3 linked regions of the Drosophila melanogaster genome follow. The protein of the gene in region 2 interacts with the protein of the main gene of each other region in a pairwise test. Each region holds a gene or a part of one and is shown on either strand. Other genes may lie near its edges.

Region 1 (9,015 bases), on a different chromosome or scaffold from region 2:
CTTCGGTGAGTACAAAAGAAAAATTAGATATTATACGTTCTAAACGATGTATCCTTACAGATAGCAGCTACTGCGGCACGGTGGTCCAAGTGTCCACCGCTAACAAAGAACTTTTACAAGGAGGCTCCTGAAGTGGCCAATCTGACAAAATCGGAGATTGAGCGCATTCGCGAGGAGAACAACAAGATAACAGTTTCTTATGTTTTCGAGCCAAAGGAGGGGGAAACGTCACCGCCTATTCCAAATCCAGTTTGGACCTTCGAGCAATGCTTTGCCGAATATCCAGATATGCTTGAGGAGATTACCAAAATGGGCTTCTCCAAGCCCTCGCCCATCCAATCGCAGGCGTGGCCCATTCTCCTCCAAGGTCATGACATGATCGGTATCGCCCAAACAGGCACTGGCAAAACACTAGCCTTCCTTTTGCCCGGAATGATTCACACCGAGTACCAGAGCACGCCCAGGGGCACGAGGGGCGGAGCTAACGTTCTGGTGCTGGCACCCACTCGGGAGTTGGCTCTGCAAATCGAAATGGAGGTCAAGAAGTACTCCTTTCGTGGCATGAAAGCGTAATTATCCTAATCGAACATGAAGTGAGTTCCCTTTTTAACCAAAATAACACAATTTGCAGGGTTTGCGTGTACGGCGGTGGCAATCGCAACATGCAGATATCCGACTTGGAGCGCGGTGCGGAGATCATTATCTGCACTCCGGGACGCCTGAACGATTTGATAATGGCCAATGTCATTGATGTAAGCACCATCACTTATCTGGTGCTTGACGAGGCAGATCGCATGCTGGACATGGGTTTCGAGCCGCAGATCCGGAAGGTGATGCTAGACATACGTCCGGACCGTCAGACCATAATGACGTCGGCCACTTGGCCACCAGGAGTACGTCGTTTAGCGCAGAGCTATATGAAGAATCCCATCCAGGTGTGTGTCGGATCGCTCGATCTGGCAGCCACGCACTCGGTGAAACAAATTATTAAATTGATGGAGGATGACATGGACAAATTCAACACCATTACATCTTTCGTTAAGAACATGTCCAGTACGGACAAGATCATCATATTTTGTGGACGCAAGGTTCGTGCTGACGACCTATCCAGTGAACTTACGCTGGATGGTTTCATGACCCAGTGCATTCATGGTAATCGCGATCAGATGGATCGTGAGCAGGCTATTGCCGATATTAAGTCCGGCGTCGTGCGCATTCTGGTTGCTACCGATGTGGCATCACGTGGCCTGGACATTGAGGATATCACGTAAGCAAATTTTTCGAGTCGAGGAACCCATTAGTCATTATTTTTTCATCCACAAAGACATGTCATCAACTATGATTTTCCGCACAACATCGAGGAGTATGTGCACCGTGTTGGTCGCACCGGACGTGCTGGCCGACAGGGCACATCAATAAGCTTTTTTACGCGCGAGGATTGGGCTATGGCCAAGGAACTAATTGAGATACTGCAGGAGGCGGAGCAGGAAGTGCCCGACGAACTGCACAACATGGCTAGACGCTTTAAAGCCATGAAGGACAAGCGCGCTGCTGAAGGTGGCGGTTTTGGAGGAAGAGGTGGTCGTTTTGGAGGCGGACGTGGCGGCGGACGCCGAAATTTCGATCAATTTCAATACTGATTCATTCTACATTTTCTAGTTATAAGAGACTAGAGCGCATTGAAGTGCCTTGCCAAAAATTGTTTAACTATTTATCTATTCCAATTATAGATGATCATAACCCAAAACATGCCGTGTTAAAAGAACACGCGATTTAAATGTATCAAACTAAGAGTTTAGAATGTTTATTGAGCTTAGTTAGTGCCACCGGCGTATTTCTCCAGCAGTTCCCGTTTCCGCTGGCGCAGCAGTGCTTCCTGTACATCTTGTTGCGTCGGCACGGGAACGTGAGCGGTGAACTTGGATGCCAATAGGCCATGAGGATCCTCCACGGCGGCTCGAGCCTTGGCATCCTCGATGGCTTCGCGTGCTGGTCCCGAAAGGGGATATATTTCATCCTCCTCTTCGTCATCGATTATGCGACCATCTCTGGCCATTTTCTCCCGCCATTCCTGCACGGCCTTCTGAATGGCCGCTCGTTCGATGCGTTCCTCCAGAGGGATCAGAACACCATCTTCGTCATCTCGATAGCCGTAGTATTCGGCATCTATGTCCTTCATTAGTTCAGCGCGTGATTTCCTGGGTGGCGGCGGAGGATCCTGTTCAAAGAGCTCGCGAACACCCGGCAGATCCTTGGCGGCTCCAAAGTATTTGTAGCCTCGATTGCCGGGAACTTCACGGCCCTCCGCATCGAACATCTTGGGACCATAGCGTCTATAGTGGGGGCCACCCAATGAGGATATCTGATTTTCCCAATGCCGTTTCTCACGCAATAACTTGTTGATTTCATCGTTCAGATCGCGAATCCGGAATTCTCCCAAGCCAGCTATAAGTGGTCGCTATTAGTGTATATTGTTAGGGAGAAATAAATAAACCGAAATAGGTACCATTCTGTATCTGGGCCACCTTCTTCGATATGTCGCGTATTATCTCCAGGCGGAACTTCTCACATCTGGGCAAATCGTGGCACTCGGAGGCCAAATAGGGCCGGCGTTCCTTTTCACCAGATTCCACTTCTTTTGCGGCCCGCCAACGTGCCAAAGTTGTCCTGTCGAAAATAAGCGGATGAGTGCTGGAAATCTTATGTTATACGTATATCCGGGTTACTTACATTGCCTTCTCTGCATTGCGCGCCTGAAAATATACATGTATTATTCATTTAATTAAAATTAATAAAATTTTCACATCATCTTACCATTTTGTTTACTAACTTCTTCTGCCTTAATTGCCAGTCACAGCGAACTATACGGAAATCGGTTACACGTTATCGATAGCAAGTACAGTAAATATTGTCCAGTAGCGATTTCACATATATTTTAAATGCAATTTATTAATAATATTCCCGATGAAACCCGAAGACATAATATTATTTATTTGTACTTAATATATATATACCATATGAATTTTATTTTCTCTTAATTGGATACATGCTGAAATAAACGATTACCATTCACTACGAATACTACTAAGTACACTACCGCGCACTTGGCCACACTGACCTGCCCAGTTGTTTTTTCACGACAACATTTACGCTCTTTGGAAAAGGAAACCTTTTTTCGCGAATTTCAAGCAGATCCCGACCAGAAACACACCTGCCCCAGGATGTTGGCCCTCATCAACAGGATCCTCGAGTGGTTCAAGAGCATCTTCTGGAAAGAGGAGATGGAACTCACGCTAGTGGGGCTGCAGTTCTCCGGGAAGACGACGTTCGTCAATGTTATTGCAGTGAGTATTTTCGCAGTGGGTGTGTGCGAATTCGTGTGGGTGTATGGGTGAGAGGGTGGTTTTTTTTGTGTGTGGTTGTCTGTTGTGTGGGTGGGGAGGGGGTTCACGGAAAGCCGGGGGATCAGCTACTACTTAAAAAGCATTACAAACCCCCAGTGACAAAGGAATTGGTCTTAGCTTGATTCCCCCACTCTAACATTGTTTATTTCTTATCTTTTCGTACTCCCAGTTTCTTTCACTGCATCCGTAATTAACGCTGTGCTAACCGTTTCCTTTTAGTGGTAAAGTTTACCGTTCCTGCCGCTGTAATCAATAAACCTACATATAGCCCATATATACGCATGTTTCTCCGCACAATGACGCCATTATCAGCACTTCAACCCCTGACCCCGTATTCCCGTACCGCCTCCCTGGTTTTTTTCACACATTTCTGCACGCTGATAATGCGACGATCTCAAGTTACCATTTACTGGAACTCGTAGATAGTTGCATACACTTGCCAGTCGTTGCGGGAGGTGGAGTAACTACTGCCTTTGTGACCGCCTGACTTATTATGAGTCATGTGAATTCGATTCAAATGTCTGCCCGCATCTACGGGAAATTTGTTTGTTCAAGTGCTCCCGAAACGGAAATATTCCCCTGCTTATCACTGCTATTAGACTCCAATTCCGTGTTTGCATTCAGATTCGTGCATTAGTGTAATGTTCAGGTTCGGAATGAAAACAAACTTGTGGGTGGCGCCAATTAGTCACTTTTCCCATTTCACTAGCGACTGCTAACCTATAGTATACCTTTTTAATTTAAACTAAGTCACAGAAGTAACATCTTGCCATTTTAGGAGCTTTCGATTCTCTTATTGAATGCATATGTAAGGTGATTGATGCTGATACAGAACAAAGATTTATGGGTTAGAATCAATTATCAATTTAAGTGTTGTATGTTGAATTAAATTTAGTACCAAAAGACATTGTTTGATCAATACTTTAAGATATTACAATAGTTATTTATTTAAGAGCATTTTCAAAAAGAATAACAAATTTTTTAAGGTTTTGGATGCTGTCATGTGTAAAAAATCAATTTTTTACACGAGTTTTACATTATTTTGGATTGCATACTTCTAGGCTTTGTTCTTTGCTAATATAAAAGTTGTATTTTATTTAAGACACGATTACTTACTAATTATTTTTGTTTCTTGTAGTCCGGCCAATTCGCTGAGGACATGATACCCACAGTTGGATTCAACATGCGCAAGATCACCAGAGGCAATGTGACTATCAAGGTGTGGGACATCGGAGGCCAACCTCGATTCCGATCCATGTGGGAGCGCTATTGTCGCGGCGTTAATGCGATTGTGTAAGCAATAATGATACTTAAGCAACAATCGGTAGTCAAGTAACACTGTAATGTATTAATCAACAGCTACATGGTGGACGCAGCCGATCTGGACAAATTAGAGGCCTCGAGGAACGAGCTGCACTCACTGTTGGACAAACCGCAGCTCGCCGGCATTCCAGTTCTCGTGCTGGGCAATAAACGAGATCTTCCAGGCGCTCTCGATGAAACCGGACTCATCGAACGAATGTGAGCGCCTTAAAATTGTTAAAACTATTTAAAAATTATAAATTAATCATTTAAAATAAATTGCAGGAATCTATCGAGCATACAGGACCGTGAAATCTGCTGTTATAGTATTTCCTGCAAGGAGAAGGACAACATTGACATCACGCTGCAGTGGTTAATTCAACATTCGAAAAGCCAAAGTCGTTAGATAACGAACACCGACATACACACAACTCCGTACCCTCTACACTCACACACTTAGGCACTATATCTCACACATATTTTAATTTTATTGTTTTTGTATTCATTATATATTTTACATTTCGCTTATATGCTTCGATGCGGATTATTTTCAACTGGAATTTTTGCTTAGCGAAAACTGGAATGCGAAAGCAGCGGAAAAGCATAAATTATAAAGACGTTTTAAACTATAAATATATATTAAAACAATATGAATGTAAATTCAATTAAGCAAGTGAAAGCCATAGTTAAAGAAATTCCATGATTGATTGTAAAATATGCAAAAAAAAAATTGTTGAGGTTTTCTAGCTGCAGCCAAAAAACCGAATTGCGATTCTTAAGCCTTGTCACGCTTTTCCTATACTCATTAACATTCACCTAGTTAATTATGATAATTTATATGAAACAGCAATGCAAATTATAAACTACAATAACCAAATTTTGAAAACTGATAACGAGCAAGGCATACAAACAACAGCAATAAAACGAAAAATAAATGAAAAACCAATAAAGACAAATTATAAAAACATTACAAAACCCCAAGTGAGTCTCATAAATTACAAATAACTGAGATTGCGGCGATTGAAAGCATCAAATATTCCAAACACTTGTTCGAATGTAATTTATAGAGTCAAGACGACCAGCATTAGTCGGCCACCCAAATGCAGACGTTGCAGGCTAACAATTGATAGATGCAGACAGCCCTATGAACGCATAAATATTGGAAAACGAGGTGCCATGGCCCTTGGCTAATTAGAAATTCTGTGTGCAGAATCAAGTCACTGCTACCGGAGGATAGCCACGGAGGAGGGGAGCAGGTGGACAAGGGCTCCGACTTCCAGGAATACGCGTCAAGCACGAGCCGTGCGATTGAGTGAGTCATGCTCAAATGCTTGCATGCCCCATGTCTCTGTAGCTTCCTGCTTCCTTTGGAAGTCCGAATACGTAGCAATCTTCCTGCCGCACACATTGCGCGTTCGTTTCCTAAGTCTTTCGTTTTGTCGCTCGCCTCATATTTCAAATTGCGTTAATTACACTTTTAAATGCGGGGTATTAACAGGGCCAGCGATAAGCATCTCGCTTCGCAGCCATTTGCCACAAGCCAAACATTCGGCCACAACTCGAGGCGAATCTCCGAAAAAAAAAGAAAAATATACCGCTAACGATGTGCTCGTAAATTTTCATACCAAAACTATAAACGAGCATCAACAACAAGCCGAAAACATTTGCGAACATTACGCATATGCCCTGTGCTTAGATGTCGTATAAAATCGTAAAGACAAATGGACAGTGCGGTTCATAGCTTTAAAACAACTAATTGATATACTATACATAGAAGTGATGAAACAAATGGTTCGTTGTTTGTCATTGAATTGACGTATTCATTAACTGATTAGTTGACTGGTCTTTAATTGCAAGTGGGTTTATCTGATCTGAAGTTGTCAGCGATAGCAAATTGAATCGACTTTTTTATGCTGATTAATTATTGCAGAATCAATTGGTTAGACAAGTGGAAGTCTTTCGAATAAATGGCTTGTGACTCTATTCGCTTTAACTTTATGAACCCCACTGTATTCGACGTGTAAAATAAAAATGATATTCTTGCTGATGCCACAAAGGCAGACGGTGCTTAGTTCTTTCTGCTTAATTTTCAGCGATTTGTGCGACTTGTGCTGATTATATAATGACAAATAAAACATTCCCAAACAACATTTAAATTTGTTGTAGCTGTTTTTTATATTTTCGCAGACCCCATCGAGCCAGATCCATTCATTTGTATGCGCCACAGTTGCCATCATCGTGACTCCTTTGATGAAAAGCCGTCAAGTCAAAAAATGCAAAAAAAAACAAAAAATTAATGATGAAAATGAAATAAAAAAAAATAGAGAAAAGAATGAGCAAATCACATTGACAAAAAATAAACTAGGCGGCGTGTTGACCATAAATTTACGCAGAAATACCTAATTTATATATTCAAGATAATTTATTAATATGTGGATTACACTCTCTTGGGGTTCCTGCGAGTCGGTGGAGATTCAGTGATTGATTTCTGAGATGATAGCTTTTCACTAGAAAAAGGTAGCTCAATATGTGTTATCTCCTATACCAAATAGTTTAGCAGAGTGCCATTAAAGTAAGTCAACCTTCAATCGATCGCCATTTTCTAACCAAATTGTTCTTAAATATATTTTAATTGAAGACCCCCACAATGGTTGCTGCACGAGGCCACCAAAAGTGTGTCTGGCCCGAACATGCTGTGCCACCTGAAAAGTTCCTGGAACTGTGGCATTGGACCCCTGCCCAGAAACAATAACCCGAAGCTGGCATAAAGTTCAGGTCTTAACAAGATGGAACAAAAGGCTGTCTGGCTGGATTGGATTGGGGGCTGATGCTGATGGTGAGGCTCTACCGCGTACTCGCCAGACTCGTGGGCAACAGTTTTCATGTTTGGCTCTTATTTTGCTTTATTTTCTTGCAGACTGTCAGTAGCCGAGTCGGGAGATGGTAAGTTTCCGCGGAGGTGGCAAGGGTAAGAAGGCCAAAACGCGACGACAACTTGGCTGACAAGAGGGCGAATGCAAATAAGTCTCGTAGCCGGCTCATTTCTGTTGAATTCACTAAACTCCGTACTGCCGATTTCCACCTCTGGCTTGATTTATCTGGCATTTTATTGGCCAGCGCCATTTGCCTTCTTAGCCTCGACGGCCTAGACCATAATTTACGCATCCTCCTGCCAATGTATGAGGTTGCTGTTTTTCTTTTCATTTTTTTTAGGCCCGGCCTAATAAAGTTCTCTCAGGTGTGAAAAGGCCTACACTTGCATACGAGGCAGCTTAATTGATGACAACATCTTGGAATTTTCGTTGGTATTCCAATCCGAAGTTGTCGCCAGTCCGCCAGTTCTTCTTCGATTGCCTTTTGCTCTTGGGCCCAGCTGTTAGCGCTGACTTGGCTCTTTGGCCGCTTGGCCGCTTGGCTGGCCAACTGAAATCAGTTAAATAATGAAACATTTGCACGATACTGGCGAATCGGAATCGAAATCGTATCGCGCGCCAACTCGAGCCAGGCTCTTTGGCCAAGGATAGGGAATTGAAAACTGGCTAAAACGGCCAGCTCAACGGCAGCGAGCAACAACAATCAGCACAATCCGCAGTTGTATGGTGCTACATATCGTACAAGATTTCCGGGAATTGAAAACTGCTAAAAATCGTGTTTGATTTTATACGTTGCTGTTGTTGTTGTCCGCTCCTTATGCATGCAATTTGGGGGGGATTTCGTACGGTGGAGAAAGAAGGGACCTGCAGCATCTACGATACGCGTCGTGGTTCAACATGCAATCGCAACAAACGAAAGCAGCTTGTTAACTAATTAAAACCAAAATATATGCAAATCAAAGGGGCCCAAAAAAAGAACCCAAAAGGAGTCTTCATCGTCCTCTGCCTTTTTCCATCCTTATTTCTTTCGCTCTCTCTGGATCTGAGCTCAGCTACTGTTTTGCGTTGGAGTGGAAGTTCTGCCTTTTTCCTCGCCTTTTTGTCAGCGATCCTTTCTTTTTTTTTTTTTTTTCTTTTTCGGGGGCAATTAAGCGGAGACAACGAAGAGTCGCTGCCATAATGCTGCAAAATCGAGAACTAAATAGCACAAAGAGCATTGTGCAAAAATTAATTGCAACATTTTGAGCAGGGACCACCGCCACCGCGCCCCCTATTTTCTCGCTCGTGGATCCTGCTCCAAATGCAATCAATTCAGTATGGATTTCTGGCGAAGCAATCGATGCGGATTTACGAGTTGCCTGCATTTTGCCTTTTCGAGCCAGCCATTTGGCCCATTGTCGAGTGTCCCCCAGAGGGCTCCAAGATGAAACTGCACG
Region 2 (9,567 bases):
ACTTTGTTTTACATGTTTAAAGCAGATTCTCTTTAAAACTGCTGCTCAGCAAGCGAAAAATCTTTGTTTTTATCCGCTATTTACTCACTTGCCAGCGGATGCCTTTGATCCAGATTTATCAACTGCGCTATATGGTCCTCTCGCTCCACGGCTATTTTCACAATGTGTGAATCCTTAACCGTCGTCTTTTTTGGTATCATTTTGGCACTCTTTCAATTAGCGATAATTGCAATTATTATTGTTTTTCTGCGTAAACTTATATTCTTTTTTTTTTTAATTCAGTGCAGTGTGACCAATTGACAAGTAGTATGGAATATCACACAGCACACAACCGTTGCGTTTTGTGGCATAGGCAACACTGGGCGGGAAAATTATGTGGATTTGAAATAAATATTTTAATGATAACAGCGCAGAGTAATTTCCTAGCTAATAAATGTATTAAAGTGAAAATAAGCAAGCAAATATGTTGTATTTTGTTTTATTTTATCGTCAGCAATTTAATAAGTTCACCGACAACCTTTACATTAATACTATTTCCCAGCAGTCGATACTTTTGTCGATTCGTTGTTTCTGGCGGAAATTCAAAATTCTCCGGAAAACTCATTAGACGAGCAACTTCCCGTGGCGTGAAATAGCGCAGTCTCACCTGGTGCAACAGGTCCAAGCGTTGCTGCAAAATCTTCTCCGACTTCGATGCATCCTGATTACTTGTGTCAATTTCCTTGACCAACTCGAAGATGCGGTGGGATTCGTCCTCCGAAAGCGGTGTGTATGCAGAGCCCGTGCCCTCGGTGTAATGGGTGTAGCCCTTTGTAAAGCACATGGATCTACTTTGAGCAGGATGTATTATGTCCATGACCAGCACTCTTTTGGTCAAGACATCGTCGGGCACCAGGAAATCGGGTGATACATTTTCCTCCACAATCTCGGCAATTTGTGAAAGACCCTGATTCTGGGCTATAGCACCCGGCATTTCTTCCCAGATCTTTCCACCGGCAAATGGAAAGTCTGCACCCTTGCGGGCGATGCAATAGTAGCGATATCGAGTATTTGGCACATTGAATTGCGTTGGCGTTAGAATAAACTCCCGCCAATGGAATCCCGACCGCTCCAGCGATTCAATAAACTGATTTCGCGCCTGTGAGCTCTCGAAACCCTTGACGTTTTCCATGAGTATGTACTCCAGTTCCTGGCACTCTGGGATCAGTCCACACAGATGAGTAAGTGCATCCGATCGCTTGTCTTCCGTGTCCCTTTGCAATCCCTGGCGAGTGTGGGGCTGACATGGCGGGGACATCAGCAGCATGTTGGCCTGAAGCTTTGTGACTTCCTTTACACTCAGGCTTTGAATATTCCTAGTTTTCACCAAATTACTGCCGTAATTGTGCGCATAAACCGCATTGGCCACGGTGTTGACATCCAAGGCGGCAACTATTTGTCCATCCAATTGGGCATCTTCAAAAGTATATATTAGTTTCGCATGTATCATGATCGACGAACTCACAATTAAAGGCATAATGCATGCCGCCAATGCCACTAAATAGTTCTAAGACCCGAAATACCATTTTAATTAAATATATTTTTGTTTACAAACTACACGTTGTGAGTGGCACGTTTTCCAACACTGCCCCACACAGCAGATTGTCTGCGTTTCCGTGTGATTGGTATAAGAAGAAGAATATCAACACGTGCCGCTCGCATTTTTGTGAATTCGTGATTCTCTCGGAATAATGATAAAAATTAAGCGAAAAACAGCCCCTCCGCCCGTGGAACAGGACTCGGACAGCGATTCCAGCTTTGACGAGGAGGAGCCACAGGATTTGGAAGTCCAGGAGGGGCCAGTCACTGATAGCAGCGATGAAGAAGCCGCCTCCAGCAGCAAAAAAACGGCCAAACAAGGGGAAGCCAGTGAGGATTTAAAGGAAGAGGATGATGACGACGATGAGGAGGAGAATGACGACGACGACGAAGAAGAGGATGATGACGACGACGACGACAAGAAGACACGAATTCCTGTTTTGAATCCCCTCAGCTGGATGCGCAACAAGGAGCAGCGTTTGGCGTTGTACAAAAAAATGAAGAAGGAGAAGCACAAGAAAAAAATGCAGGAGCGCCGTGCCCGACGGAAGGCTGGTGTACCCGCCAATCCTGGTCACACCATAGAGAGCCTGCGAGAGAAGGACCAAACAGAGGTGGCCAATCTGAACGATTCCGACAACGAGGAGTTGCAAAAGGAACTCCAACTGGACGATTTCAGCTCGTACTTCGAACGTTCGTACGAGCCAAAGGTGCTGATCACTTTTGCTGACAATCCGGTGACCAAGACGCGTAAGTTTGGACTGGAGCTTTCGCGCATATTCCCCAACGCCCTGGTTAAGATTCGCAACAAGTCGTCGGTGAAGAAGATATGCAAAAGCGCCGAGCGCGAGGAGTTCACAGACGTCGTGATCGTTAACGAAGATCGCAGAAAGCCCAATGGGCTGCTGGTCATTCATCTGCCCAATGGTCCCACTGCCCACTTCAAGCTGTCCAACGTGAAGCTCACCTCGGACATAAAGCGCGATCACAAGGAGATAACCAAGCACAGGCCCGAAGTGATCCTGAACAATTTTACCACACGTTTGGGTCTGACCGTGGGCCGCATGCTGGGTGCCCTCTTCCATCACGATCCCGAGTTCCGCGGCCGCCGAGCGGTGACGTTCCACAATCAGCGAGATTACATATTCTTCCGTCACCACCGCTACGAGTTCACCAAAGAGGGAAAACGCGTAAAGCTGCGCGAACTGGGGCCGCGGTTCACCCTGAAACTACGTTCCCTGCAGGAGGGCACATTCGACAGCAAGACCGGTGACTATGCCTGGATAATCAGCAACAAACGGCACGCCATGGAGTCGCGACGTCGCTTCTTCCTCTAGGTGTATTTCGAGGCATTGTATTTAGGTATAGAACTACTTAATAAACCAACAGTTAATACGAAAATAATAGCTTGATTGAAGAGAGAGGTGATAACCATTAGCGACCGCCGTATTGTTTTGTCGGTGATAAAATAAAATACAAATTTGCCTTAGCCTAAAAAATGTGCAACACTCAACAGTTAACCAATTGGCACACCACGAGACTATCGTGCTCCGTCAGCCACTACATGGTTGGGCACTGGGGACCGGGACCGCCGGCTGCTACGCCGGCAGTGGGATCGCCGAAGGGCAAGTCGCCGCCCGTCTCGGCCAGAATCTCTGGCGGCGGCTGGCCGTAGTCTTGCAGTTTGCGCATGTCGTCCAGCACGACGCGGAACTTCTCTCGCTTCACGGCGGCCGAATCCTCGGTCTTCTCGCTCTGTAAATGCCCCTCAATCACCTTGTACAGCTCCATCTGCTTCTGGTACCTGTATGTATTGGTTTCTCAATAAAAGTATCTTATTGCGAGTTGATTTCGAGCATACCTTTCCTTGTCCTCAGCGGAGAGCTTGGCGTCGTTCTCCTCGAGGTACTTGGGGTACTTCTCCAGCAGCTCCCGGATGCTGGGCAACAGAATCTCCGCCGAGAGCAGGCTCTGCATCATGCCCTCCATGAATGGTAGGAACATGTTTCCATCACCCTCGCCAGCCTGTCAAACGGGGATTGTTTAATGATTGAGCAAGGAGAATTCATATTTCATTTTCAGGATGCATACCCCTTCAAGATTCAGTGAACCAAACATGCTGGCTATGTCGTTCTCCGAGGCGGGAGCAGCCAGGTTCTCGGAGCCCTCTTGCAGACCCTTGAGAGCCTGGGAAATGCTATCAGAATACTTGGAGACATCCTCGTCGGTGGCCGAATTTTCGCCGCTCAAGGTGAGCGCTGCCGCTTCGGCCATCTTTTTGAAACCGGCCATGATCTGGTCGGGATCCTGGGGCAGCGGCGGAATATCGCCACTGGGCGTGTCCGGACCTCCGAAGAGCGTGTTCATGCGATCGGCCAGCACCTTGGCCTGCTCACTGAAGGCGGATAACAGGTCAGAATACAAAGTTCAAGTGCCGCGTTGCACTGGCGCATTGACTCACATGAAAAACGCATCTGGATCCTCGGAGCCCTCAGGTCCAGCGTTGGTCGCCACATCCGATGATGCGGACGGCTCCTTTTGGTCACCGGCACCACTTTTATCGAAATCCTGGAGAGCACCTGTGCGAAAAGTGGACGACGCAGTGCGCATTATGTAAGGGGTCGAGAAGGGATCGCCAAAGGCATTTCCGGGCTGTACTCACTGTCCAGCAAGTCGTTTAATTCATCGCCATTCTTCTTTTCTTCGGACATTGTGCAATTTCGGGATGCTTTTCCTTGATTTCGTGGTGGGTGGGAAATGGTAAAAAATAAAGACTGACTGAATCAATCAGTGGGACCGTTCATCTGCTGCTGGTGCATACCGCAGTCAGCTGAACAGGTGTGGCTACACTGACTCACATCTTAGTGCGACCGCATTCGTAACGGCTTTTTAAAAGGATGCGAAATGATAAGAAAAAAATTTAAAAATTAACTTTTCTATATAATTGTTGGTTTTAATTTTAAGATTTCAGTTTCGGTTAGGGCTTAGACAAAATTCATATTACTTAAACAACTTTTAAATGCATTTAATGTTTTTTTTAAGAAAAATAGCTATATTTTGTTTAATTTTTAGTAAATATATTCCTTAAATTAAGAATTCTTATTTGTTACTATTATATAAAGTTCAAAACAAGTTCAGAATACCTATTTCGAAATAATCTGGAATGCATTATTATTGTGGACTACACATAAGTGTGAAAATGTCTAGCCATTTAATTCATATAACATATATTTATTGTCAATGAAAATTTCGAGTTTTGATTTAGAAAATTATATGTCTTACAACAACAAGTCATCAGTACACCCATCTACAATATAATAGTGTACATATTTAAATCTAGGCCTACATCAGACTAATAAACTTAAATTCGAAGCACCTCAATATCCCTCCTGTCTTGAGAGACAAACCAAGGACATTAGTCGAAGATTATCTAAAATAATCACCCAAAATATTTACGCATCTTCTGCGAAACTCTCAGCCAATCTCCCCGGGAATGGCACCTCGCTGTGCGCGGACGGAGATCGGCGACCAAACTGCGACCAGAGCCCAAACCGCACATACTGAGTGGTGAGGGAGGGGTCGCAAAACCATCAAGGTCACGGCGCGACGCTGATGCGCGACCAATTCCGAAACCAGAACGTCACACCCATGGACGGGACACATGGATTTTGCAGTAGGGCGTCCAGCTCTAGGTCCACTCCCGCCCGAAGGTCACCGCTGCGGAGGAACCCCGCTTGGTTTCCTCAATTCCGCTCATATGGTCAAATGGCTGGGCTGGGATGGGCTGTGCTCTTTGCGACTTTAACCGCACGGTTTACCAGAAGAGCAAAACGAATCTTCGATTCGGTACGCCCACGCAGCGAAGTATTGTGGTAAATTTGTGTTTTTTCCTCTATTTCCACTATTGGGGCGGAGTTTTCTTCGGTCAGTCGGTTCTCTGAAAATGTCAGCATGGGCGGAGCTTCGACTGAAATAATGCATAATTTGGTGTTTTATTTTGCGGCTTAGGGTGGAACAAACCGCCTGAAACTCTTACATTTCCTACAGAAACAGGGTAATTTGACTTTTTATGGGCTGTAATCCATTTACAGAATATGCATACATATAACATCAAAAATTTCCCTAAAAACCATAACTCTCTTTTTAGGGAAAAATTTCATTCTCTATTCGCTGCGAACATCAGAGTATATAGTTCAACTTCAAATTTCTTAGAACCCAAGCAGTTCAGTTCAAAAAGTCAAGACAACCGTCAAAAAGTCAAAACAAAAGTCGAAAACGTAAAAACCCCTTCGTTGGCCAAAACAATGGTTTTTGGGTCACACTCACACCCGATCCCAATAAACCAAGAAACTCGCTCTTTTTTGACATAATTTTTAAGGCACCAACAGGCGCGTCATAAAGTTGTTTATTCCGATATAATCGGTTTGCTAGACTAGCTGAATTTACCTGAATCTCCAGCTCTATTTCCCCAGAAGAGGAAGGATTCCAACCGTCATAAAATGCCCATCAGCGTCTTCACAAGCATCTACACTTCCCTTCCTTTTTGCAGGAACTTTGCCAGGATACGATCCTGTACATCCTTTTCATATGCTGACTGCGATTTCACGCTCGCTGATCGCATCGCTATTTTTTTCAACATTTCCGCATCCTTCCAGCGAAAGATGCTCGATTTTACGATGCACTGAACAGGATATAATGGATTTCGCGATTGTTCGGTAATGACGATGATTGCGACTTTATAGACACATTATTTATATTGTGGCTGGTGTCGTGTGGCTATGGTAATAAAGTGTAAATAATAAGTATATATAAAGGAGTAAATAAATTAAGACACTAAATATATGTAATATATATGTAATATAAAAGGAATAAAAGTTCTTTAAAATAAAAAAATTATACTAATTAAATTAAACTCTGATTCTAGAAATCTGAATGTTACATTACATTCAAAATAACTTGTAGCTTTAGTACACCTTGTATTAATCATTCAAGTATCACAAAATATAAGATATTTATATATGTTTCGACATATTTTTGTGTCTGGCCAGGATGGCATTATCTTTTGATATTTTGGCCATGGTAATTGCGATTACAAGGCTCCCAGTCATTCCTGGAAAACGCTCACTTTTCCTTTGAAATCCTGCCCCGAAAAGAAGAACTGGAGAAGTCAACTGCTGGCAGCTTCCCGAAAGACAAGACACCCACATCCACCATCCAACATACAACATCCACCATCAACCATTGCGCAATGGGGCGAGCTCTTCATGCTCCGACACCCATCGCTCTCCATCAAAGTGGCCATGCAAATGAGCCCTTGCGTCTGCCATACGTTTTCCTCTAGAGGATTGGGTCGAAGGGTAGCCGACTCCAGATGATGTGGGTTGCTCTGTCTGTGCCCCCCCAGTCGCTGTTCTGTTTGATTAAGCGGAAATTAAGTGTGCGTTTCGGTTGCAGCCTCCCAATTCGCCATGCCCTGCTTTTTTTTTATCGTGAACTGCAGCACATATATGTTTTATGTTTCCCAATCGATTTGGTGGCTCAAGAGCTGCTTTTGGCTTCCTCAGGTCAAATAGTTTTTATTACAGTGGTTAGGAATTACTCCCAATTAAGTTTCATAGAAATTATAGATTGCTAAAACATAAAACCACTTCTAAGTAGGACATCATGAGAAACTTTTTAAGCTCTTCGCATAAAACTGAAGATTCTTTCCCACTAATGTATAAATAATCACGGTCTCTGCAGTCAATTTTTCCATTGGCAATGCATTTTTTTTAATAGAAAACGCCGACCGTAGCCAGTGATTAATGAAACAATTGAATGATTTTATTTAAATTCGCATATATCCGATGCAAACCGTGGCTAATGGACAAACGCCGCCGAAGAGAAGATCCAACATCTCCAAATCGAGATTCCATAGAAACACTCGGGATGTGAGAAAAACGCCACCTACTTTGTGGACTCTACGCCGAGAAAACTAATGATGTTCTTTCGCCATCCATCGAGTTTGTCCATTATAGTAGAGTATATGATCGATCCGCGATCGAACCTGATCGACTACCACAAAGCAGGGCAATTACAAATCGGGGAACTGGACAACAGGTTGCCGGCTGAGTTGGGAAATATGGATGTGGATGTGGCTCTGTGACTCTGGATGGAGATGGAACCCGGCCGGAAAACAAATTAATCTTGTTGACGTCGCAGCCTCGTCACTTTCTTCGCCAGGTCGAGGGCCCAGGTGTTTGATCTCGACCTGATGCTCCGATGCTACGATCTTCTGTTGGACAACGATGGGTTGCGCCTACATTTGCGCCTTCTGTTTAATGATCAATTTGTTGGCCTCCGTCGCCGTCTCTCAGATGTGTGCCGACAGCGTTTAGCAGTCGATTGGGCTCGGGATTGGTTTGTTTGTGCCCCGAGTTGCCGGGTTTGTTGTGCCCCAGGCTAATGAGTTTCTCGAAAGTGGGTGTATGTGGCAGGGGCTCCCCTTTTTGCCCCTGGGACACTTCCTACATGATCGGCGAAAATTCAGCCAGACTCTGTGACGTCCCAATACACAGGAAGATAATCCCTTTCAACTAACTAACTATTTATTATTTAATTTATAGCTTCTTCATTCTTATACATTTAGGTACTGAAAAATATATATTCTTAAGCAATAATTATACAGAATATGAATATTTCTTTGCATGAACAACATTTGCTAAGTATTTTCGCTGAGTGCATGACGAATGTCATGTGGTTGGAGTGCCAAAACCAAACGTTTGTGGGCAGAGGCGCGAAGTTTCCACCAATTGCGATCGAAGGTATATATGCTATGAGAGATGCTAATTTAAGGACAATGGAGTTCCGGGGAAGCCAGCTCGCGACCCACAAACAACTAATGCCTTCAATTAGCCCGGCTAAACTGCTACCAAGAGCAAGGGTTAATCGCCCGGAGATCGGGAAAGGCCCTCAGCTTTCCGCCCACTTTTTGTCGTAGAGTGGGCGTGGGCTGCGTTAAGCCGCAGCATTTTTTCGATAACTACCTGGACATGGACTCCGAGTTGGCCCGACTCGTCCTGACCCACCCAGATTGCCATGGGCCATGGCAAATCGTTTACAATTGTTGATCAATAAAACGTCGGGCTGTAATGCGATTATCCGCTATAATCGGGCGATCAACACTCGAGAACTTTTCCAAAATATTTGAAAAAGTCAACTGGCGATCGACGGGATCCAGGACACAGGCTGGCCAGGATCCAGGATCTAAGCTGCTGCGACTTTCCCTCTAATCTCGCACTTTGCCGCTATTTGTTTGCATGCTTTAGCGGGGATTGCGATTTACGATCGCTCCGGTCACAGGACTCCTGCGAAAGGACTCGCTCTGGGAGATTCAGCTCAGATGGGATAGGATGGAATGGACCACGGGATAGAATGCGACTCATATTTACTAAAACTTACTGCGGATTAGGAAAAAGTCAATCGCCGCCTGCCAGTCTGTCGAGCGAGTGGAAATATTTGAGGATCAGCGCAGAAGCGCAGGATCAACAGGGGGCTTAAGATTTCAGCTAGAAACATAGCTAAATGAAGGTATTGAAAATCAATTAAATTGTATATAATACTACATTAAACCAAAAACAAGGATTATTAGAAAAGTTGAAATGTTTGCTTTTCCTTAAAATATCTTTAGTAGGCCTGTAGCTAAATAAATAGTGCTATTTCTTTAGAATCTAAGTACTTAGATTTGCTAACTAAGTATAATATACGATGTCTAAAGATGTTGCTTGCCACGGTGTATTACGATATGCCTTCCAGAATTCCCTAATTTCTGGAAATCATGGCTCTAAATAGTCCATTATCTAAGCATCCCGTAGTGCGTTCGTCGGTCAGAGCCTTCTGTGGGCTGTGGACATGGAAATTCGATGCACACCACAGCATCCAAAGAAAAAAAAAGTAAGGAATCACCATGCCAAAGGGCCTGATAAAGACATTAGGACCCGGGGAACGTGA
Region 3 (6,698 bases), on a different chromosome or scaffold from region 2:
AAACGCTTCACTGATCCTCCCCATCCGCCAGCACGCGTTGGGTTAGGTCACCATCCGAATCCTTGGAAACAAGGTAGGATTTCAGAATCGGAACAACCCCCGGGTTCCGGCGGATTGCCGATTGCCGAGGGGTATATCAAATGCATAATAAAACAGATTTTGATACGGCCTCATTCATTCGATTGCAGCCGCTCTCCCAGGAGCACCAGACACATTTGTATCCTTGTGGTTGTCTGCGATCCTTTGGACTTCTCACTGATTCAAAATGGCTGACCAACTCAGTTTTCTGGCATGTAATTAATGGTTATGTATACCGTACAGGATTTCTTAACTACAAAACCACATTTTCAAAATATTCAAGCTTTCTATTAATCATATTTTAATGTAAATATTCATTTTTAAGTTGTAAATTAAAAATATAATCGCTTTCTTAAAGAAATTAAGCGTCAAGATGGGTACTCAACTCTAATAAATATATTTGAACAATTTATCATTTCCCATAAAGTATGGTCAATAAAATTTAAGATAAATACCCAAAAAATCGTCACTGTTAAACGCAATTTATACATATTTGCTATAGTGACCATATCATTTCCTAAGCCATGTTATTCTTGATCTTTAATACCTAATATTGTTATTAGATAGTCGTAGATTACAATTTCTTATATTGAAATCAGAAAAACCAGTATTTTACATGAAATGTAGATAAAGTGTAGATACCACTAGTTCAGAAGTTCGCCGCTACATGTAATTGAAATAGTGGCGCCACTGTATTATAAGCGTGTAAACTCAAATCTCAGCCGTCCTTGCAGTCAGTTGGTTTGAAAAACAACCAAGAAATCCGTTCGATAGCCCACGGTCTATATTATATTAATCTTAGGCACAAGTTGAAATATAATTAAAACAAAAGAATTCTTAAAGAGATTTCAAAACAAACAAAGTAAGCATCCCCATATAACGTATTTATGAAACCATTGGACCTATGTCATTTACAGGCAGACCAACCTCCCACGCTATTCGGCCAACTTTGTGCTCCATATCATTCTGGCCTGGTAGTGTCAGCTGTGCGTCTGCAACTTCACGGGGTGTCCTCGCCTCGTTCTGGCCGCAATCACATTAACATTAACAGACTGCGTCAGTCGCCTACCTTCATCTGCAGCTTCCGCATAATGCGCGTTTCCTCCCAGCGGTCCAGTTCGTCCCACTCCTTGCCACGCTTACGCAGAAGGTAGTAGCGGTACATGACGATTGTCACGGCCAGGATCAGGGCCAATCCTGTACCGGCTGCGGCCCCCAGAACCGCGGAACTAACCATAACCATCTTGCCGATGAGTTGAATTCACTGAAAATACAAATTGAATACACAACTTATTCACAACTTGTTTAACTATAAAAAGAAAAATTATATATACATTATACAATTTTGTGAAAAAAATTATCTTTAAAAGCAAATGCTGTATAAATAATATATTTAAAGAATAGCAAAAAACTATGGCCTGCATGATCAAAAATCAGTACTTATCAAAATATATTCTAACTATAAAAACCAAACCAAGTAAACATCATAGCTATTATTTGTTTTTAATACATTTTTATTGAGAACAGTATTATCGAATGTTTTAACTAAATGGCGAATTTAAATGTCTTTCTTTTGGGGTATTTACTTTTCCCCTGACGACAGCTATTGATTTCCACACTCTCTTTACTTTCACATGACGCAATTAGCTCGTCACTTCCTTGATTATTAAAGCTCTCGTTTTCTAGATCAAATCGATCTTCGCGATTCCGGGACTTTCCAGATGATGAATCAGCACACGTGATTAAGGCAATCATAAAAGTAAGGGCCAAAACCGATAGTAACCCAACGTAGAGACGCATTTTGGTAACTAAAAACAAAACTACTCAAATGTGTGGCTCGGAGCACACTGTTTGTAGGTATAGCTATAGGAAAACAAACTCATACATAGGTACCACAGATCTAACTTTTATTCAGAGTCACAGCTGTGCAAACCACCTGACTGTAGTCGGAATTTCCCCATCTATCGACATTAACTGACAATGTTCTTGAGAACACGTCATTAGCTCGAATTTGTGATGAAATTGCGTAAACGCTAAAAGTCCAAGTTCATGTGATGCACATAGCCATTTCGAAGGATTGCAAACCTTGGATAAGACTTAAAATCAGCTTCGTGCTCGGGATATTTTAGAAAATTAACTGGTATGACATCAGTTGGTTTATCCACAGTCGCTTCATCTTCCTCCTCTTCATCTTCGAAGAACTCGCCATCTTCTCCAGTTTGACTTTTGGTTTCCTCTCCCGTAGGACTGTGAGTTTCCTCTCCAGAAGGTTCCTCGGTTTCCTCTCCAGTTGGCTCTTTAGTTTCCTCCGCCTTTTGATCTTGCGTTAAGTATGTCTCCTTTTTGGTGGGATCTGGTGAATAATATGTCTCATTGGCTAATTTTTCAAGCAACTGCAAGTTTTTTATCATTTTATCCAAATCCGCTTGATTTAGTGGCCTTAAAACTTTCGGTTTGATAGATTCATCTAATGGCTTTGTAGATATTAGGGTTATGCCCATAAAAGCGATCAAACTTAGAGCACACAAAGTACGCATTTCTTCAACGTTCTAAACAATACTGGCTGCTGCTACAAAAGAATCAGCTGCTTTTAATGTTTTCTTAATTTTTGAAATTTCACTTTATTTGTTTTGAAAAAAATAGAGTTGTATAGAAAATTGGTAGAAAAGTTTGAATTTTTAGTTTGAGTTAAAGATAACATTTTTTATTTAGAAAATAGAAAGGAATAGTTAAGCAATCAAGACTATAGGGCTTTGACCTAGACAAGACTAGGGTGACGCCTGATCACAACTGGACCATGACCTCCGAACCTGGGCCAGAAGGGACGGATCTGCTTCTTGGCCGAAGCTGCAGTGGTTGTCTCATCCTCATCGGCATCATCGCTGGATTCGTCAGCGGCATCACCAGACTCTTCAGTCGTCTCCTCATCATCAGAAGATTCCTCCGCATCAGTGGCTTCGGTGCTCTCCGCATCATTGCTAGTCGAATCCTCATCGGCATTCTCAACCACGGCAGCGGAGGACTCCTCATCCTCAGCTGGACGGGCAGCCACAAAGCCAACAGCCAAGAAGGCCAAAAGAGCGACAAGAATCAGGGAACGCATTTTGAAGTTGAGTCTAAGAAGTTATCGCGAAAACTGCTTTCCCATTTCGTACAACATTCAGCTATTTATAGGAAAAGTCTCGCAAATTTTGGCCGATTCGTAGAATCTACTACGAAATCTTTATTTACGCTTTGGTATTTGAACAATTGTCTCAATGGAAAGTTTTACAAGCGTATTTTTGGAGATATTTTTTTTTTTAGACAACAACAAAGGTTCGTTGTGGGGTTTCACAATTAATTTCTTTCCGTAGTTCATTGTCACGGAGTGGGGGGAGTGTTTAAAATGACTGGACCGATTCCACCCCACTTAGGCCATCTGGGGACAGGACGAATAGTCGATCGGTTACTGGATCCTGATCCTTCTTCAGTGCTACTGTTCGCATATGGATGTGCCATCACAGTGGAAATGGCCAGGAAAGCGACGAGAGCAATAATTCCTAAATAACGCATCTTAATCCACTTGAATTTCTCCGGTAACTACACCTTTCTCCTATCAACTGCACATTTTATATAAAAAACGGAATGTTTCTTCTTATTCAGAAAAATTTTACCTGCCAAGCTGTGCAATCTGTAGATTGCCATATATGTACAAAAGTAAATATTGCAGTTTTATCTGCCAACTCTTCCGTCACCTGACGATGTAAGTGAACTACAATTTAAGAGATATATTTAGGAACTGAGAGGCATATATCATAAGCAGCTTTCTTTGCACTAAAAATAACTTGAAAATATATAAATTCTGTAGCACGAAATTATTCAAATTCCCCATATAATCATTGTTGCTATAATATCACTGGGAATGGCAGTCAAAAACTTTAGAGATATATTGTTTTACAATAAAATAGCCGTAAAAATTGCTAAAGCAATTCTGTAACACGGGATTTTAACGAAAATACTTGGGGTTATGACATACAGCTTATCTTGTGTTATGGTACTTTAAATGAAATAATTTACTTTAACTATATATATAATATCAGCATATTAGCAAAATCAAATTATTTAAAATCTTGTGGCCAGATTTTAAATACCAAAGACTGTTATTTAACTGACATTTAAGCATACATTTTTTTAAAAACTGATGGTATGAAAGCGTATTCATTCTATATAATTTTTTTAACTGTGTAGACAAGCCCCTCAAGCTAAACAAATTCTGCAAAAAGTATTATATACTTTGTGGCGTTTTTTCATATCGATCGACATATATAGCTTTAATTTATTTACTGTTTTATTTGTTGTATAATTTTAAAGCATTTTGTCTAATGTTTATTGTTAATGGATATTTTAAAAACACGTGTTATTAATCGAGGAAAAGGGGCCTTGCTTGGATGAGAAGAGGTCCGAATGGTCGAATCTGGTTGTTGGGTGGAGCATCCTGCTCCTGATCGCCTTCTGAATCGTTATTATTATCCGATTCGGTATTATCATCAGACCCGTTGTTATCTTCCTCATCATCTCCGCTTGATTCATTATCTGACTCCTCCTGATTATCCTCGCTATTTTCATCATCCTGGTTATCCACATTTCCAGAATCTTGACTTTCTTCAACAGCAGGTTCTTCCTCGGCAGCATCGGAGTTTCCCTCGCCATCATTACTGGACGAATCCTCATTGGTGTTATCCTGGATGGAGGACTCCTCATCCTCAGCTGGCCGTGCAGCCACAAGACCAACAGCCAAAAAGGCCACAAGAGCAACGACAATTAGGAATCGCATTTTTTTGTGTTCTTGTGCTCAGCGAAGTTTTAAACTGATTTGAAACTTTACTCGATCAATCGCTTTTTATATTAAATGCCTTTTTTTGTTATTTGAACGAGTCATTTACGAATTTCATATTTGAACAAATGCTTATCCCATTATTGCGTGGTGACGCACAATCTTAATTGATATTATTCTGGGAATTGTCCAGAATTGTTTTGAGTAAGTGGGTTCGTTGTGCTTGCCTCTATTCTGATTAACAGGTATCTAATAGTCGTGGCACTTGACTATAGCGACCTCTGTTTTTATTTTGTCATATTTATTACACACTCGCATGCAATCATTGAATTAAAAAGATAGTGAATGGTTTTTGGCCTTTTTAAAACATTAGATACAAATTTTCTTACCTTCATTACTATTTACTTCGCCTAAAGGATTTTCATTTCCGTCGTGGTAATATGTGCTAATATAAAGCAAAATAAAAAATCTGATATCTCCAAATCGAACTTCAAAACGTTTATTGATTTCATTTAACTTATAAAGACCAAAAAACGTATTTAAAAGTTTTACCCTGAATAAGTTTTATTTTTATTTTCTTTATTGGTGATTTATCAGTTGCTCATTTCATATTTTGTGTTTGAGAAATTGCATCGGGGGAGAATTTCTAAATATTTTTGTATTTTCGAATTTAAGCCGCTGATGTTGTAGAGCACCAGTCAACTGGGGCTTTTGGGTTGACAATAACGATAACTTCTCCACTTGGATGGGGAAGTGGGCTTGCACTCACAAAGGCCATGGCCAAAAGAGCAATTATCACGAGTACCATCAGAAAGTGCATCTCTATTTCGTAGACTTAGTTCTTCTTTGAATAAGTTTTTTCAAAGTACTGCACTTCTTATATATGAATGCCGTGTTTGCTTTAAAATTTCTATTGCAAACTGCACAATGGCTGCACCTTACTAATGTTAAGTAAATATTTGAGAGATAAAACATTTATTGATCTATTGAGCCACACATTACAGGCAGAAAATTATTTCTTTTTCCCTGCGCTGAAATAAGAGTATTAAGAGTGGCTTTGAGGCCAATTAATTAAATAAAAATTGCATTTTTAAGATTTTGTTTAGTATGTAATTCTTTACAAAATCATTTAAGAGCTGTATAAAAAGAAGTTAAGTAAAAAGCACCAATTATGATGGGTGTTTCCAGAAATGTGTGTATTTACTAGAATAACATAAAAACCTTTACTTATTTGGTTGTTGAAGATGAACTGTGTATTTCTGTGTAAACAGTTGTTTAAACGTCTAACGACCGGTGAAAGCGTGTAGATAAAGACAATAAAGAATAGAAAGGGTTAATTCCCATTAGAGCTACTCTTCATCTTGATTGTACTGGATGCTCTCGTCGCTTTCGGAATCATCATTGTTCTGGGAATCGTCCTCCGGGGATTCAGGCTCATCTAAGTCGTCGTCGGACTCGGGTTCATTTGAATCCTCATCGTCTTTCTCATCATCGTTAGCATTATCCTGCTCATCAGCAATTCGTTTGTCCTCCTCGAGGTCCTCCAAGTCGTCAATGTCCACCGGATTTGCGGAAACTGTGGCCAAAAGCACACATCCAAACAGGGCAAGCAGCAAATAGGCACGCATTGTATTGTCAAATTTAGTTTTCAACTAAGTTCAGTTCCACATTGAAAATACGCTTTTATAGCAAAATCTCTAAATTGGCAGAAAAATAAAAGCGCGCATTGTGACAATTTATTTGGTTCGTTTTGTGTTTACCCCGCGACAGCTGTTGCCTTGGTTTGAGCGTCAAAAAATGAGGCAAA

Evidence for each region.
Region 1: the proteins of Pex19 (region 2) and Arl8 interact in a two-hybrid assay, tested with the Drosophila melanogaster proteins (one large-scale study listed by BioGRID).
Region 3: the proteins of Pex19 (region 2) and CG12310 interact in a two-hybrid assay, tested with the Drosophila melanogaster proteins (one large-scale study listed by BioGRID).

What each region holds. Positions count from the first base shown.
Region 1 is NT_033777.3:8,123,499-8,132,513, forward strand, and holds Arl8 (ADP ribosylation factor-like 8), read left to right. Parts: upstream 1-3,106; 5' UTR 3,107-3,221; coding exon 3,222-3,344; intron 3,345-4,542; coding exon 4,543-4,697; intron 4,698-4,763; coding exon 4,764-4,925; intron 4,926-4,991; coding exon 4,992-5,112; 3' UTR 5,113-6,337; downstream 6,338-9,015. Other genes in the region: CG7878 (uncharacterized protein), read left to right, coding at 1-5, 61-569, 632-1,267, 1,325-1,640; CG9667 (uncharacterized protein), read right to left, coding at 1,814-2,445, 2,507-2,667, 2,731-2,753, 2,815-2,817. UniProt on the Drosophila melanogaster protein: Required for normal functioning of the late endocytic pathway including lysosome motility and late endosome-lysosome fusion. Not required for the delivery of lysosomal membrane protein-containing vesicles to late endosomes.
Region 2 is NT_033779.5:12,088,584-12,098,150, reverse strand, and holds Pex19 (peroxin 19), read right to left. Parts: upstream 6,330-9,567; 5' UTR 6,025-6,329; exon of another isoform or gene 5,793-6,024; intron 4,464-5,792; 5' UTR 4,290-4,463; coding exon 4,241-4,289; intron 4,158-4,240; coding exon 4,040-4,157; intron 3,974-4,039; coding exon 3,670-3,973; intron 3,604-3,669; coding exon 3,440-3,603; intron 3,383-3,439; coding exon 3,139-3,382; 3' UTR 2,916-3,138; downstream 1-2,915. Other genes in the region: Ced-12, read right to left, coding at 89-200; Mt2 (methyltransferase 2), read right to left, coding at 479-1,455, 1,505-1,565; CG6712 (uncharacterized protein), read left to right, coding at 1,731-2,915.
Region 3 is NT_037436.4:15,047,585-15,054,282, forward strand, and holds CG12310 (uncharacterized protein), read right to left. Parts: upstream 3,223-6,698; 5' UTR 3,182-3,222; coding exon 2,837-3,181; 3' UTR 2,679-2,836; downstream 1-2,678. Other genes in the region: CG43678 (uncharacterized protein), read right to left, coding at 1,624-1,878; CG18581 (uncharacterized protein), read right to left, coding at 2,112-2,615; CG43679 (uncharacterized protein), read right to left, coding at 3,439-3,630; CG13461 (uncharacterized protein), read right to left, coding at 4,478-4,891; CG43680 (uncharacterized protein), read right to left, coding at 5,562-5,711; CG18649 (uncharacterized protein), read right to left, coding at 6,241-6,519.